Linked DNA regions of Lytechinus pictus. The protein of the gene in region 2 purifies or fractionates together with the protein of the main gene of each other region. This does not show direct contact. Links are inferred from orthologs where the notes say so. Each region holds a gene or a part of one and is shown on either strand. Other genes may lie near its edges.

Region 1 (8,111 bases), on a different chromosome or scaffold from region 2:
AGCTCACCAATATGCTCTATGTCTTCTAAATAGTCATTATATTCTCTCAACGTCTGGAAGTCACCTTCCTGTTTGTTAAAGCTGAAAGATATCAGAATCAGAACAGTGTGTGGTATTAAAATTAACAGTAATATGACACATCCTAAACATCTGCAATCGGACTGGAACTGTACACCGCCAATACAATTTCATATGGGTGTAATTATTACCAGTGATTAAAACTCGAGTCAATTTTACAAAGGGTCAAGTGCAAAATCTACATACTCTTCATCTTTAAGACAGCACATTATTTCTTTACACAATGAATACTAATCGACCAAACAAAATGCCATCATGAAACATAATTAGAATTGGTAGGTAAATTGAGTGAGTTGATGTGGATAGGCAAACCAGGGACACAAATTTCAGAAAAGTTGCCCACAGTGACCAAATTGTCAGCTCTGACAATTTTGGTTAAAAAAACTTGGTCTCAATTGGATGAACAGAATGGTCTCCGTTAGTGCTATTTCTATAGTAACTGTCGGAGAATCGCACATTGTTAGTGCTGACAAGCTTCATGAAACAGTGCCCTGTTCATCACCATGCTTTTTTCCCCAAGTCAATATCCTGTTGACTGAGCACCGAGTTAGAGATCTCATTTACATGTACAACTACATATACTAGTACAAGAGACACTAGGTGATTTCAAGTCCGGTGTTGGGGTCGGAAGCACAAATTGGACTGCGTTTCCTGGCTCCAAAACCTATTCTGAGTTTACACAAATGATCACAATATTGACAACTTGCCACACAGTGAGTGACCTTTCAGGACCAACTTCATTCTATGTTTGGTGCTATGATTATATAAAAATTGACCTAACATGAATACCAAATGGTCAGCACTGAACTCCAAGGCCCGTATTCTGAAGTCAGGTTTAACTTAGACTCAGGTTTAAAGTTGTGGTTTAAGTATGGGAAGCCAAAAGTATCAAAATATTTTATTAAGTTGTACATTTCTTATGTTTACTGTGCTCTTTCCTGATTCATCGATGGTGAAGACAATAATCTATATATACTTCCTGGATAATTATGAATGATTTGTGAGCCAAATGAGCTGAAATATGATATCTCTACTGTCAGTGATTTATGTAACAATTGGCTGTCCATACTTAAACCACAACTTTAAACCTGAGTTTAAGTTAAACCCGACTTCAGAATACGGGCCATAATCACCTATTCTGAAGGCAAGATAGATGGGAAATATACCTCTTCACATACTTACTCTTTCATCACTCTTCTCCTAATGTCCACTTCCTTTTCAATGATTGAATCTTCAAAGAGTTGTACTCGAAACTGGTTTCTCCTCAGAGGTGTTTTACACTCGGGACACGTCCCTGCTCCTCGTACAAATAACAGCTCAACACAGTTATCACATCTGAAATGACAAGATAATCATGATTTTTCTTGACCTTTAAATAAGAAGATGAGGGATATCCAGGTTGTAAAGCTAAACCAAGAGAAATAGATTCCCATTGCTTGCCTCCATTTTTTAAAAAGATTTGTCATTTTCCCATGCCATGGACTTATTATTCCGGATATTGGTCATATGTTTGACATTTCATTATCAATGTAAGATAAGCTTAGATATAAAACAGGGCTCGACATTAGCAGTGGCCCAGGCCAGGGCAACAAAAATGAGTCGGGCCACCAAAATTCTGTAAAAGCCCACACTTGGTGGCCCGGTCGGGCTTCCAAAGTTTTGATGAATTGCAATGTTTTATTTTGTTTTGGGTTCACCGAATTTGCTTTGCTGGCCACCAAGAATATGATATTGATGATTTTGGTGGACCGATCGGGCCACCGAGAAAAAAGTTAGTGTGGAGCCTTGTTAATAATAAGTTAGTCCACTCTGGTGGTATCACATCTAAATTCTAAGTAAAACACAAGCAAGTAAACTAACTTGTAAAAACATATCTTGTGTGTGTGCAAATGCACGTGATACACTCACACTAGTGCGAGATTAGTATTAGTATACTAATTCACACTAGTGCGAGGTTAGTATTAGTATACTAACACAGCACAAAGAACCGCATTTGGCGGTGTAGGGCGCATGCGCGAATTTGACAAAGTCTATATGCGCTATAGACCAAAAGCTTCGGTCTCTGTTATGTTGGTTGTTCAGCTGAACTCCGTTGGCTTCACTCACCAAATACAGAGACCGAAGTTCTAGCGCGATCTGTACAGGGGACTCAATGGCCATATGTTTATGTGTATTAAGTTCGGATAAAACAGGGCAGTAAAGTTGCGCAACAGCCGGGGTAAGTCACTGTTTTTGTTCCTTTTAACTTGATTTTCCCCGTTTTTTTTGCAATTAATGCCAAGAGGGAATATTAATTTGCATTTCGGTCGCGTTAATTTTCAAAAGTTTGATTCATTAAAGACAAAAATTGAAGAGCCCCGACAGGGGAATTTTGCATTGTAAGTCCCCTAATGGTGGCTGCACGATAGCGAGCCGTCTGTGTATGAGGAGAAATTTAAAAAATAAAAAAATGTTAAAAAACTCCTCAAAACAGACGGCTGCCAGCTGTCTATATGCGCTAGTGCTATAGCCTCGGTCTCGATCGGCCATTTTGTTTTGAATTCTGAAAGAAGGAGAGCTACCGTGACAGAACTTTTCGTTTTTTGAGGTTCCAGTCTGTGCCTCGATGTCAGGAGGAAGCTGCCACTCGTTAGACCTTCATCCATATAGACCATATTATAATAGTGGTAAGTGCTTAATTTCTGTTTTAACTATTTACTCTTTAAATGATTTAGACCATACCTCATGCTACTACCGTGGGGTATGGCGAATTACACGGTAAGCCCCTGGGCTCCGGCCCGCTGAGCTGCGCGGGCCGGAGCTCCCTGGGTTACTGACTACTGTCTATCACTACACTTGACTTGGTCTGATCTTGGCACACACGATTTTGAATGCATCGGACTGAACCTACAAATATAAGTTCCTGCAGTGATCTTCCTAATTTCCATCCATATTCTTACAAAAAACATAGTCATTATACTTACAGTGTGTGCCCACACACATTCACCATGAGTTTCAGCGATGGGTTCCGATATTTTGTTGTTTTACAACGTGGACACATTTGTTCATCCATGATTGGGAGATTTCTAGCAGAAATTTATGAGACAAGTAAAGTATGATACAAAAAACTGAAAATACTTCTAACGTAGATGGCGCTATTGAAAAACAGCACGGTGATGACAACACCATAGAGATGTATATATCTCTGTGACAACACCGATCTCGTGACAACGTGCGAAGTGGCATAATCAGATTTTCCTCGGGAAAATGTGCCCCCCCCCCCTTTTGTTGGAAAATCCTGGATCTTCCCCTGGTGTATATCATGTATATAAACAAAAGAAGTGATCAAGGCATATTCTCATTGGCGGCACCAGGCAAATGGGGGGGGGGGCAAAAGAACATTTTTTCTGGCAAAGGTGGACACAAATTTTTTGGGCTGTTTCACAAAATCGAGCGCGAAGCCCAAGTTCAATTTTTTATACAGTTCCAACTGACTTGAAAATGGACCTGATAAGGACTGCTTGCACTTACTCATGAAGATGATATCTCACCAAATAAATAATACGAGCGTGAAGCGCGAGCTGAAAATTTATATTATCTCGAGATGATAACTGGACGTTATAAGCACTTTTGTAAACATGATCAGGATAGTTATTTAACTAAACAATTGATGCGAGCGCCTAGCATGAGATAACAATTTGTTTACCTTTTTGTATATAATTATGCAGGATGTGTATCTTAATAAAAAAAAAATTGAAAAATCGAATCATGAGAAGAATAAGCCCCAGGGTATCCTACATTGAACGGATCATTTATTTAAGTCAACTGACAGCCACTGCGAGCGCGAAGCGCGAGAGGGATTTTAATTTCATATAATGACCTGAAAGATTTCTGTTAGTGACTAATATTGTTAGTGGCTATCAGTGAATGAATGAGAACATTTAAAAAATTAGAATAGTGAAAATGCTATTTTGGGAGCATTTTACAGCTTGAGTAGGATGCTTATGACAGCATTTACTATATTTATTTAGTTTTCCAAATTTCTGAGGGGGGGGCAAGTGGGGGACAATCCTAACTGGGGCAAATACCCCCCACCCCTGCACCCCCTTGGTGCCGCCACTGTATGTCCTTTATATTTGTTTTGATTATGATTTACAGGAGGTGAAATAGTTTTTAATTTTGTTCACGCTCAACATTTATTATTACTGTGTATTTATAAGGTACATTATGTTGCTTAAAGGGTACAAAGCCAGTGGCTTACCGTGGACCACGGCATGGGGGGCACCAGCAAAATTTTGGAGTCACTTAGTGGGCGCGCCAAGCGCGCTCAATTACCAGGTATACTGACCTAATAGACACTTTAAGGACTGTGCCATTAAACGGATATGTATCTCACTGATCAAATAATGCGAAGCGCGAGCTGAATATTGTTTATATTCAGATCCAAAAAGGGACATTATAAGCAAAATTGTGTAATCATTATACGTTCCTGTCTCGCTAAACTAAACAAAATGCGAGCGCGAATGGCGAGTGGAAATCTTTGTAATATTGACCCCAAACAAAGACATTTTAAGGACTATTTTTTAGGAATCCATTAAGAGTATACATATCTCACCATTGTCATCTAATGCGAGTGCCAAGCGCTTGCTGATTTTGTTAAAATTACATCTAAACACATGTATGACATGAAGCACTTTTTGTAGTCAAGGTAATCATGACTCAACTTATCATACACATCTCACTAATAAAATATTGCGTTGTGCGAAGCGCGAGCTGAAAATTTAGGAAATTCAGACCTGAAGAGGGGCATTTTAAGGATTGTTTGTAGGAATTCACGAAGATTTCACTAATCAAATAACAAGAGCGCGAAGCGCGAGTTGAAAATTTGTGATATTCAGATCAGAAAAAGGGACATTTTAAGGACTGATTTTAGGAATTCATGAAGAACAGACATCTCACCGATCCACTAATTCGAACGTAAGCACGGACAGGAAATGTTTTATATTCAGACCTTAAAATGGGGCAATCACTTTAAGTAGTCATGAAAAAGAAGCATATGTCACTACATAAAACAATAATAACTCGAGGTGCGAGGAAATATATTTGGTGTATATTGACTTGAAAACGGGATGTTTTAGTACAACATGATTATGTATATCTCATTAAACAGACAATGCCTAGCACCAGTAACGACGAACACATTTAGGCCCTGAGCAAATTATTTTTCATAAAGTTATGAAAAAAAGTTCTTATGTAAGATAACATAATATATGTAATATAACATTATAATGAACGATAATTTCTTCTTTCCCACTTCGTTTCTCTTCCTTTCCCCCTCTTCCCTCGTTTTTTTTTTTTTTGGGGGGGGGGGGCGTGCCCGCCGTAGTTACGCCACTGTACAAAGCAGCCACCTCCCTCGGCCCATACATAAAAAGAGAGCATAACGTGAAATAAAGAGGGAAACTTGCAAGAGATAAAAGAAAGAAAGCGGGATAAAAGTGTTGTTTTTTTATTCATTCGTTTCCATTTCCCGCCGATTTTCCATCTATCACGGTGGTGGCGTCAAATCTTAATCAATGACATTTTTTTGGGTCATCATTACCTTTTTTTCTGTCACATAATCATTGTCAAAATTAATTTGCGGTCACTCAACTTTGACCATGCTGAAGGGCTAATTGTTAAGATTCAATTTTTCAAGATTATTTTGAAATACAGTCTCTATTCCATAAACCAAGATGTAATGGTTATCAAGTAGCGTACTGAGCCAAAAACTTTGAGGGGGCAGATATGCCGGTCAATATTTTCTAAAAAGCTACAAGCGAGAAAAATGTGCGAGAAAAAAATATCTTTTTGATATAAAAGTCTAATTGTATGGTGCATATTTCGATAAAAAAATTCAGAAAATGAATGTTATATTTCACAGTCTTTCCCTCTGTTTTCTTTTTTTTTTCTTGGTTGTGAAAATCTTTTGAGGGTGGGGCCTTTCCCCAAACCGCCCCCATCTGTATGCAACTGTCAAGTATCAGCATATAAATGAATATATTTCAGGTCACTACTAGGCCAACGTAAGCAGTAATTTCAGATCAATAATGAAAAATGTATGTTTTTTTATTGTTTGAAAATTTAGTAGGCCTTGAGTGAGGTAGTTATCTGAAATTATATAAATACATAAAATGATACAAGTACAAGATCAAAGCTCATGGACACAGGTTTTTATTTTTTCCCTTTTAATTCGAAAAATTCATCATGTTAATTAAGGGTGATATTAGGTTAATAAGTAGAAATTTTAGTACTAAATGCGCACATCCATTCATTTTTTAATTACTTAAAGATCATATAAAGAAAATATGCATCAAGTATATGATATAAATGTAATCTTCTAGCTACAAAAAAAGTATCAGAGGCAACGAATTCATGCGTCAGACGACAAATTATTTTTAAAATGCGATAGGGAGCAAACTTGGAAAAGTAAAGGGGCAGCAAATATGATTATTATTTTTGTCGGGGGGGGGGGAGGGGACTCGAAAGCGAGGGAGAGAAGCAGCTGATCTTATCACGATGGTACTTTTGCATTTTCAATATTGTAATTATAGGTTTTGGTGAACTCTGGTAAATTTTTATAAGAATTTTAGCAACAAAACGACTTCCACTTTTTAGGGAGTGGGAGGGGGGCCGGTTTGCCCCTACCAACGCTGGATACGGTCGTGGACGTAACCCACATGACCGTGCAAAAGGGTCTAATTCCTCATACATACCCATTTCGGTGACACTCGTATTGTAAAATGATTAACAAAATAATGTATTGTATATACAGCTAAAATTAATGAAATATTTCTTATTCGAGTCCTTAGACGTGGTTGCCGACACTTTTCCCCACAGTAAAATGACCCTCGCGTGTTGGCCTTGAGTTCTCTTCTGCTTCATAATCTCAATACCTGAACCCTCCCCCCCCCCCCCCCGTTTCAGAACATCCTGGCGCTACCCCTGACTATTATTATTCTCTTCTCCTCCCCCCTTTTTTTTTGGGGGGGGGGTCCCTCAGCCCCTGGAACCAATGCCCCTGATAAAAGCATTCTCCGCTCATTGTTTTCCCCGTAAGATTTTGATTAAATTTTTTTTTTTTTTTTTTTTTTGGGGGGGGGGTTAGTTTGGGGTAAAATTTTATATTGGCCTAGTCCACTACATAAAGCGTTGTGTTCGAAATCCTCATTTCTCGAGGAAGACCTTTTCTCGCAGTTGGCCAAGCTATTATTCAGAGAGGAATTCAGGGATGACAAAAGGGCAGTAAGTTTTGTAATTATGCTAGTATGACCCTGCTGCACCCCCACTCTCAGACTGCACCCCCCCCCAGTGGCGTACCTAGGATTTTCCAGAAGGGGGGCAATTTTTTTGGAGGATATTTCGTCCGAGAAAAAATTTCACAAGCAATAAAAAAAAAAAAAGGTCTTCAACAACAAATAAAGGATTTCTTACCCCCAAAAAAAATTGACAAGCAAAAAAAGATAAGATCTTCAACCAAAAATAGGTATTCAGGTGCATTTTTACATTTTACAAATTATTAATTTGGCTTCTCAAAAGGGGTGGGGGGCACGTCCCCTGTATCAGTTGTGACTCGTCAGGGGGGGGCAGGGATACGTCCCCTGCATGAGTTGTGACTCGTCAGGGGGGCAATCTGCCCCCCTGCCCCCCCCTTAGGTGCCCCCCCCCCCCCGCCAAGATCCAAACTCGCCAATTGATACTGATGGATACTGACCCTGACTTACTCGATGCATAATGCTTCATTGGCTCATGATGAGATTGCGCAATGAGAAGATATTACCGAACAATAGTCAAAGTTTTCCTTGATAAATTATTGGTCAAAAGTTAATTGAGAGTAGCCAATGAGAATCCGATATGTCGAGCGTCACTAGGATGAAAAGAGTAACGTTTCATAATTGGTCGGGGGACTGGCGACGACGAAAATTGAGGGGGGGGGGGCGGTGATGGACCTGCCCTGTGGAAATCAAGGTTTTTGCTATGAAATTGACATCCACTATCGATAAAACAAACTCCGA
Region 2 (8,313 bases):
ATCTGGTGTTAGACCAAAACGAAACTGGTGTTGTTTAACACTTCTCTGGTGTTGAAATATATATATTCCGGGCTGGTGTTAAATCAACACCAGAGTTTTTGAGGTGTACAAGCTCTACTTTTTAGTAAGTCCTCTATTTTCATTTACATTTTCATATGGTAATATGCAATTATCCATATTGCAACAACGCTATATTTTTTGTTTTGTAGTGATCTTTATTATTCATTCAAATAAATTTCATACATACATAATCAAGAAAATATAGAACAAAATGATAATTGCAACAGTGCAATACACAAATTAAATAACAGTGTAATAAACATAGCAGGCAAATTGTATAAAAAAAGAGACATAATCCGAACTCATGCAAAAATAACATTTCAACAACTTATATATGCAGCTATAAAGCAAATAATAAAACAAGACGTAACAACTATGCAAATTTAAAGAATGAATGTATATGAGCATTCTCCCGTCCCATGGCCCCCCCCCCCCCTATCAGACCCCTATATTCATGTACCAATCATGTTTCTACGATATCATTATTGAAATATTTCTTATGACGTTTAATCTGTTTTGTATATTTCTATATCTGTATATGTTTGTTTTTACGGTGATTATTTGAAAATGGAGATACAGAGACTGAAACGAATATGATAGATGACTATTTAAATCAATCTTGAGTCATCTCCCTCTGATCCATCAATGTATAATTGCCCCCAGAAAGCGGACGAAAACTTAGGAATTAGTGATATTCCGGATACATGAGAAACAAATCTACATTGTTTAAAATATCGTTTAAAAAATGTCCTCGATCAAAAATTATTTCTTCTTTCAATTGAGACCGATCCTCATTAATTCCCGTTTTGCTCTTTGAGAAGAGGTAAAAAAAGAAACACTTGTGAAATACTTCATAGCGGTATGCAGAATTTGTTTTCCAACATGTCCAAAGAAAGTTTAAAGCGAGAAAGTGAAGCGACCAAGCTTGTCATGGACGCTTTGCTTTTTAAAATAAAAATTTAAGGATTTCCACTTTTTGCACTTGGTGACTTTTGTGAAAATTTTCAGTGATAAATGTAGGTTTTCAAAATTTCTGGTGGCAACTGCCCTTCCACTGCATACGGCCACGAATACTTTATGACTATGTCTAAAACAGAAATGCTTTTGGTTCATGAGATTTTGATGCCTCAATAAATCAGTGATATTAAAAAAATGTATCGACAGCATTCTTTCAAACTTTGGTTTCCTGGAAAAATCAAGCTGATTGCTGCCATATATCTATTTTAAGGGTGTAATTTAAGCGCCTTTTCTATTTTAAATAGATATGTGTACATAACTTAATTTAAGAATCCAAATTGTGAAAGAGGTGTTCACCGGGCGTTGTGCAAATAATTTTCTCAATCATTCTTAGTGTAAATTTTGATGTTCGGTACTAAATTATTATAATTGTGCATAAGATTGTATTTTATTCGTATTATATTATTTAAAATAGATGCTGAACAAAACAATAAAATACATACTCAAAACATATCAAAATAATCTTAAACAGCCGGGGACAGAGGCGTCGATCGTTGGGGGGGGGGGGGCAGGGGGCGGTCATTCCTAATGGAAATATTGGGGCAAACATATTGATTAGCCCCCTAATGATTTTGACAACTATGCAATGCAAATGAATGCAAATGAAAAGCATTGGTAAGCACTATCAAATCATTAAACTTAGCATAAAAATGAATTTAAACAAGTCATGTAAAATTAAAAATTTTCGGCGCAAATCGCTCGTAAAACTAAATCTGGCGTGCCGATACTTTTGGACATTTTTCAGTCTTGCCCCCCTCCCAAATAATCATTGGGGCGATTCCACACTAGAACTTCAAAAATATCATAAATTTCAACATGCTTTCAATAAGTCATAAGTAGTGTAATATTTTACTATGATACCTAAATTTTATGAAAATTGTGGGTTTTAACCAAAAGTGAAGTCAGATATAGTTTTTTGGGGGAAAACAATGGAATTTTCAATAATTTTGCTAATTAAATAGTCAAGTACAAACACTGCCTGAAACGATTATTGGCAAAGCACGAGAAGATTGAAAATATTGCCGATCAATGGAATAATGTATCATTGAATGGTTCCAAATAATATCTACAACATTTTCATGATCCATAATAGGGCAGCCCTGATTTATCCGAACCTATTTTTGACAATGTCCCGTACGACACATAAAAATGCAAAAGTTTTTCCTACAATTATATTTTTGATGATGCAATTTCACAAAATCAGTTTCTCTATCTTTGATCCATGGGTGATCGATTTATCCCATAAGGATCTAGTTACTGCCTTTCATTTTTTTAAATTGTCCTATTAAAAGTTGTCCCGTACGACACACAATATATACTGCATTTAATTGCAGGATTTGGATTCAGAAACTATAAATAGTAGGCCTATTTTAATTTAAGTAATTGATTTGACATAAAGTGAACTGAAAAAGTGCTTTTTTATCTCCATAGAACATGAAATATAAGTGATTCTAACCATTTTAATTGACTTTATGTAGGTTTTTTCTTTTGTGAATCCCTTCAGCTAAACTGGTGATTTTCACTGGTCAGAGCAGGTTTATTTCTTTATCATTGAGCATCAAAAGAAAACCTTTAGAATTGATTCACCCTAGCCTGGAAGATGACTTCCTCTTGCATGCTAATGTGAAATTATTATAAGATGTAAAAAAAAATATTTACATATCAATCATCTATTTGGACTTCTCTTGATGATCACTAATTTTTTTATGTATAGTATTGAAACTTCTTACTTTTTTCAAGCTGTAAAAAAAATCTGGAAAATAAGACAAACCATGTTCCAAAAAAAATCTGGAAAATAATACAAATCATATATGGTTTCATTAATGCAGAAAGGTTTGAAAAAGTAGAATCGCATTATATTTCTTGAGAAAAAACAAATATGTTGTGGAATTACAAGTGACAGTTGTGACATATATCATGTATACATTTTATATGAAAAATCATAACATTTTAGCCCCATAATGTACACAAACAGTTTCGTTCATTCGTTGTTTAAATAGTGTATTGGAAATCATCAATTAATTCACTAAAATATAACTTCACACAAAACCTCAAGTTTTTCAGCTCGTTAAAATGCTGTGAACAATTGAACATTTCCCATCATGAAAAAAAACAATTGCTCCCGATTGTATATACATTGAGGTTACTTAATTATATTGTCCTGAATGACTACTTATTAAAAGGCTTTTCATTAAAAAGGAAGAATTTAGGGGCAATGCTCCCCTTCTGATTGATAAAAAGTTCATTGTTTTATTCAGGCTGTCCAGTACAACACGCAAGTGCCTGTTCAACGCACAATTAGTGTCCCGTACAACACACAAAATTAATGTCAATTCTTTCAATTCTTTTTATTTCATTTCCATTCAAAAAACATAATACAAAGTAATATAAAGTAATACAAATCAAGTACAATTTTACAGAAGGGCATTCTTACTTCGTAAAAAAAAAAACAGAAAAAACAGTGTAATATAGAGCATAAATGGAAATGAGGGGGATCCACTAAAAAGCAAAGCTTGTAAAGTGTGGATCCCCTTGGAAATGAAAAAAGTATAGTAGACTTATTCTGATATGCGTACATATATGTATTACAGGAAAGAAAAAGAGAACAAAAGAAATCATACGGATGCAAATATAATTACTGAACTAATGCAAAGCTTTTCACACAATGTCCCGTACGACACGCAAGTATCCCGTATGACACATTATTTTGTTTATGATATATTGACAGAAATATTCAGCCAATAGCGGTTTCTAACATAATGAATGTCTTTAGTTTGATAGGATTATCATTATCATCAGTAAAATGAAGTGATTGAAGAAGTCAAAGAGACATAGATTAAGAAAGTTTGGCTTCAATTTAGAAATGACCCGTATGACACATTTTGATCGAGTGTCCCGTACGCCACAATGTTCTCGAAAATTGTAATTTGCTTTATTTATTCATGAATGTTTATTATACAGGATGTGAATTCAAGTCATGTTAAGTCTTGGTTTTCCTAACACTCTGGTAGTACTTGTTGATCACCTTTACTTACTGGAATATTTTTTTTTTCTTGTCAAAAAACTGTCAAATGTACGTACTCTAAATGTCCCGTACGACAAGTATAGAATCACCCATTGTATATATTGTTCAATTTCGGTTTCTTTTTTCTAATATAATGATATGGCTATATTCAACTCGATGATAAAAATACAGAGTATTTTGGGAATATGGTCATCTTGAAATAGTAAGGTTTTCTGTCTAAAATTTTGTTTCATAGTTTGTAACAAAAAGAGAATATCTAGAATTGTAATATTGATAATTTAGAAATAAATTGCTAAGAAAAAAAAGAAAGTATTCTTAGATGTATATTCAACAATAATTTTAAAAAGTGGAACAGGAATTTGAATGTGGGTTTGGGGATGCGTGATTGCTTGTGTGTGTTTAATATCTCAATCGCCAATTGTTTTAATTTCATGCGCATCATATCTCAGACTATATGGACGTAAGTGACATGTATGAAATACTCTGATTGAAGAAATCATGATCATAGTGACCACGATGACGACGAAGATGACGACAGCGACACGGCAATTAACCCCGCCTCCCCAATGAAAATAATGCGGGCCCCATTTGTGGCCAGCTCATCTTCCCTAAGAGGCGTACCCTGGATCCGCCACTGATGATAAACGATGATAAGGATGGTGAATGATGATGATGATGATGACGATGACGATGATATGGCGGTGGTGGTGGTGAACTGGTGATGATCAGATGATGATGATGCGATGATGACGATCGGATGATGATGATTATGATGCGATGATGACGATGATGATGATGATAATGATGCCCGGTGATGATGATGATGCTGATGATGATGAATTAAAGTTGGAGAGTTTATTCGATAATCATGGGAATTGGCCAGTGGCGCCTCTCACCGCGTACAGAGCTAGCGAGCCCGGCCGTTTCTCTGGCGCAGCGCCCAGGGCCAGCGATAGATAGCCCGAGTGAGGCGTGCGGCAGATATAGTCTAGGTGATTGGTGAAAAAAATGTTCAGAAAATGGTACAAGCATGAAAATCGGCACAAAGGTAGAGTAAGTTATTCTAAACATTTTTAGCAGGGGGTGCCGACGTGAGTTCACCGAACATAGCAACGGTTGCTAGGTAACATATTTACCTTAGTAACTGAGCTTAATTGGGCTAAAGTAACATTTTCATAAGCGATATGTCATACAAATTTTAATCTAAAGCATGTTCCTTTGTATCACAACAGTTTTGATCCATTTATTCGTAGCAACGGTTGCTAAGGGACCCTCTTCCGTAGCAACAAATTCTATATCTTAATTCAGATCATTATAATCTACTCAGAATAGCTCAGAAATTAAATCTGGCCCATAGATTCATCATGTGATGAATGTTTCCATAGGTAGACCTAATGAGTACCATAGCAACCTTTGCTAAGTAACATTTCCCACGGTAACAAGTATTATAGGGTATCTATCAATGATTATAATTTTTTTTAAATCGCATCTTTTCTATTAAAGCATTAATACAATGTATACAAGCCCATGCGAAGTACCAGTTGCTATTACGTTTTCTGTAGCAACCAATGGTTAAAGGCAGTATGGTAAGATTATTGATGTGTAAATCATAGAGGTACTAATAGATGCTTAAAAAGTAAAACCTTGCACAAATTAAACTACCTCATGAAATGGTTCATAGTTCCAAAGACGATGTCTATGGGTTCCATAGTATTGGTATAATAATACTTATTGCATATCAAAAGAACTTCACCTTTAACACCTATCTTTATCCATTTTGAAACCATATTATGGATTAACCTAAACATATGTAAAATATCGACCCTTGGAATAATTCAACAAAAGGTGGTTTCAAACCGCCTCGATCACAAGAATCCCCGTTAAGTTACGATAACTTTTAAGGCTTAAAAATACCCATATTCCTGCATTCACACCGCCCCGAAACATACCCTTCAGGGGGGGGGGGCGTTTCATGAAAGGGCTTGTCGGACATTTTATCCGACAAGTACTAGTTTATCCAACAGTTACCATAGGAACAGTGCCTCTCAGCCAATCAGAATCAACGAAAGATGTCAGATCTGACAACTTGTCGGATGAAAATATTGATGAAACGCTCCCCAGGATAAGTTCCTGCATGAAGTTACGAGCATGAGCAGTATGTTCTGATAAGCAGGCAAGGCGCGATATTCAAAATCACTAGCCCAGCAGCCACCCACGGCGCCCGCGCCCAACGACACGCTGGGCTAAAAGTTCCTGTAAATTGCTTTCACATTGCCAAAATACCTGCGACCTTAGATAAATCCCCACGAAAGTTCTCGTTATTTGGCCAAGTACCTACTATTTAGCGGGTATTTTCTTTCGGGAAAATTTCGCGTAGTTTGCTTTCACATTACCAAAATACCTGGAACTGACGAACTTTGAGGCGGTCTGAAACCACCTAATATCAACATTTAGCAAGAGGTCACTCTTGTATAAGAACGGTTACAAGAACTCCCCAGGAGGTCATGGGTACTAAAAACCTAAATAGCTCTGATCTTGAAGAGATAACCACGAAGAGATGACCACCAAGAATTGATTGAGTCATATAAGTTTAGAATTATTTCAAACACATAAATCTTGTCAAAAATTAATTTTCAAATGAGTGATTGGATACCACTTATCCCTTGCTAACAGCAGTCGTTCGCTTGAAAGCCAACACACTTTGCCTTGGTTTACCCACTCCCTTCCGTAGCCTGCAATGAAGATCATATTAGTTCTCCATGTTGTTCCCAAACCAAACGCCATGGGTAGGAGTTGATTTTGCCCAGGCGTTTTGATCAATCCTGCGCAGCTGGGGGAAAGATCTGTTAGAATTGATTGCGACCCTTCAGTTCCGTTTACTGGCCTGTTGGCCTGGATCCTGCAGCTACATGATCTATCATGACTTCTGCAGAAGTTGATTTGTACCTGTTACTTCCGATTCCAGGTGTTTTGACCTGGAACAATCCTGCAGCTCCACGATCTATCATGACGTGAAAGATCTTGCTAGAGGTAATTTAGACCCGTCAGATCCGTTTTTATATAGGCATGCTGGCCTGGATCCTGGAGCTAAATGACTTGATCCTGCCGAAGATGATTTGGACATGTCCGTCCTTTTTCCGGGTGTTTTGACCTGGAACAATCCTGCAGCTCCAGGACGTGTCATCACGTAAAAGATTTCGCAACAGTTGATTTGGACCAGCCAGTTCTGTTTTCAGGCGTGGTGGCCTGGATCCTGCAGCTCAGGGCTCTATCATGAGTTGAAAGCTTGTGCAGAAGCTGATTTGGACCTTTCTGATATTTTTCTAGGTGTTTTTACCTGGATCAATCCTGCAGCTCCAGGACTTAGCATCACTTGAAAGATCTGTTAGATTCGATTTAGACCATCAGTTCCGTTTCCAGGGGTGTTGGTCTCGATCCTGCAACTACATGATCCATTGTGACTTCTGTAAATGTCGATTTGGACCTGTCAGTTCCTATTCCACGTGTTTTGACCTGGATTAATAATGTAGCTCTGGGATCTATCATGACATGAAAGATCTTGCAAGAGATGATTTTGACATGTCAGTTCCGTTTCTAGGCATGTTGACCTGGATTCTGCAGCTATATGATTGATCTATCATGGCTCGATCCTGCAGATCAGTTGATTGGACCTGTCCTTTCTGTATCCAGGTGTTTTGACCTGGATCAATCCTGCAGCTCCAGGATTCATGATTTGAAAGCATGCGCATAAGTTAGTTTGACCTGTTAGTTCCAATTGCAGGTATTTTGGCCGGGATCTTGCAGCTTCAAGACCGATCATGACTTGATAAATCTTGCAGGACTATGCTTTATCACCTACGTATATGAAGTACTTATGATATCAGGTTGGCTCGACGCGATCCATACTCGGCCACAGAACATTAGCATGAAGTTCTGATATGCTTCTTCCTTCCGTATACCTCCGATACTTCTTGGCATGTCCAACTCAGATGGAAATGATCCTGCTGATGGCACTACCACCTTGTCTCGCAATATAATTTCCTTATGAAGAGAAATGTTTCTTACACTTTGATTGATGAACAAGTAATTGTCCGACCGAAGAGGATGATGACTGTAACTTTCTTGATATGTTCCTCTGTTGCATCTGCTATTCTTTGTCGAGCATACTGCATGTTTCACAGTGGCCTTGCTTTTCCGCACTTATGATTAAC

What was found.
Region 1: the proteins of cyclin-dependent kinase 7-like (region 2) and CDK-activating kinase assembly factor MAT1-like purify together in Drosophila melanogaster (affinity purification with western blotting; 3 studies listed by BioGRID, with this or other methods). This does not show direct contact. The link is inferred for Lytechinus pictus from reciprocal best matches to the Drosophila melanogaster genes Cdk7 and Mat1.

What each region holds. Positions count from the first base shown.
Region 1 is NC_087251.1:44,919,755-44,927,865, forward strand, and holds the start of CDK-activating kinase assembly factor MAT1-like, read right to left. Parts: upstream 3,209-8,111; 5' UTR 3,131-3,208; coding exon 3,042-3,130; intron 1,414-3,041; coding exon 1,261-1,413; intron 82-1,260; coding exon 8-81; intron 1-7.
Region 2 is NC_087249.1:7,302,781-7,311,093, reverse strand, and holds the start of cyclin-dependent kinase 7-like, read left to right. Parts: upstream 1-4,893; 5' UTR 4,894-5,094; intron 5,095-8,313.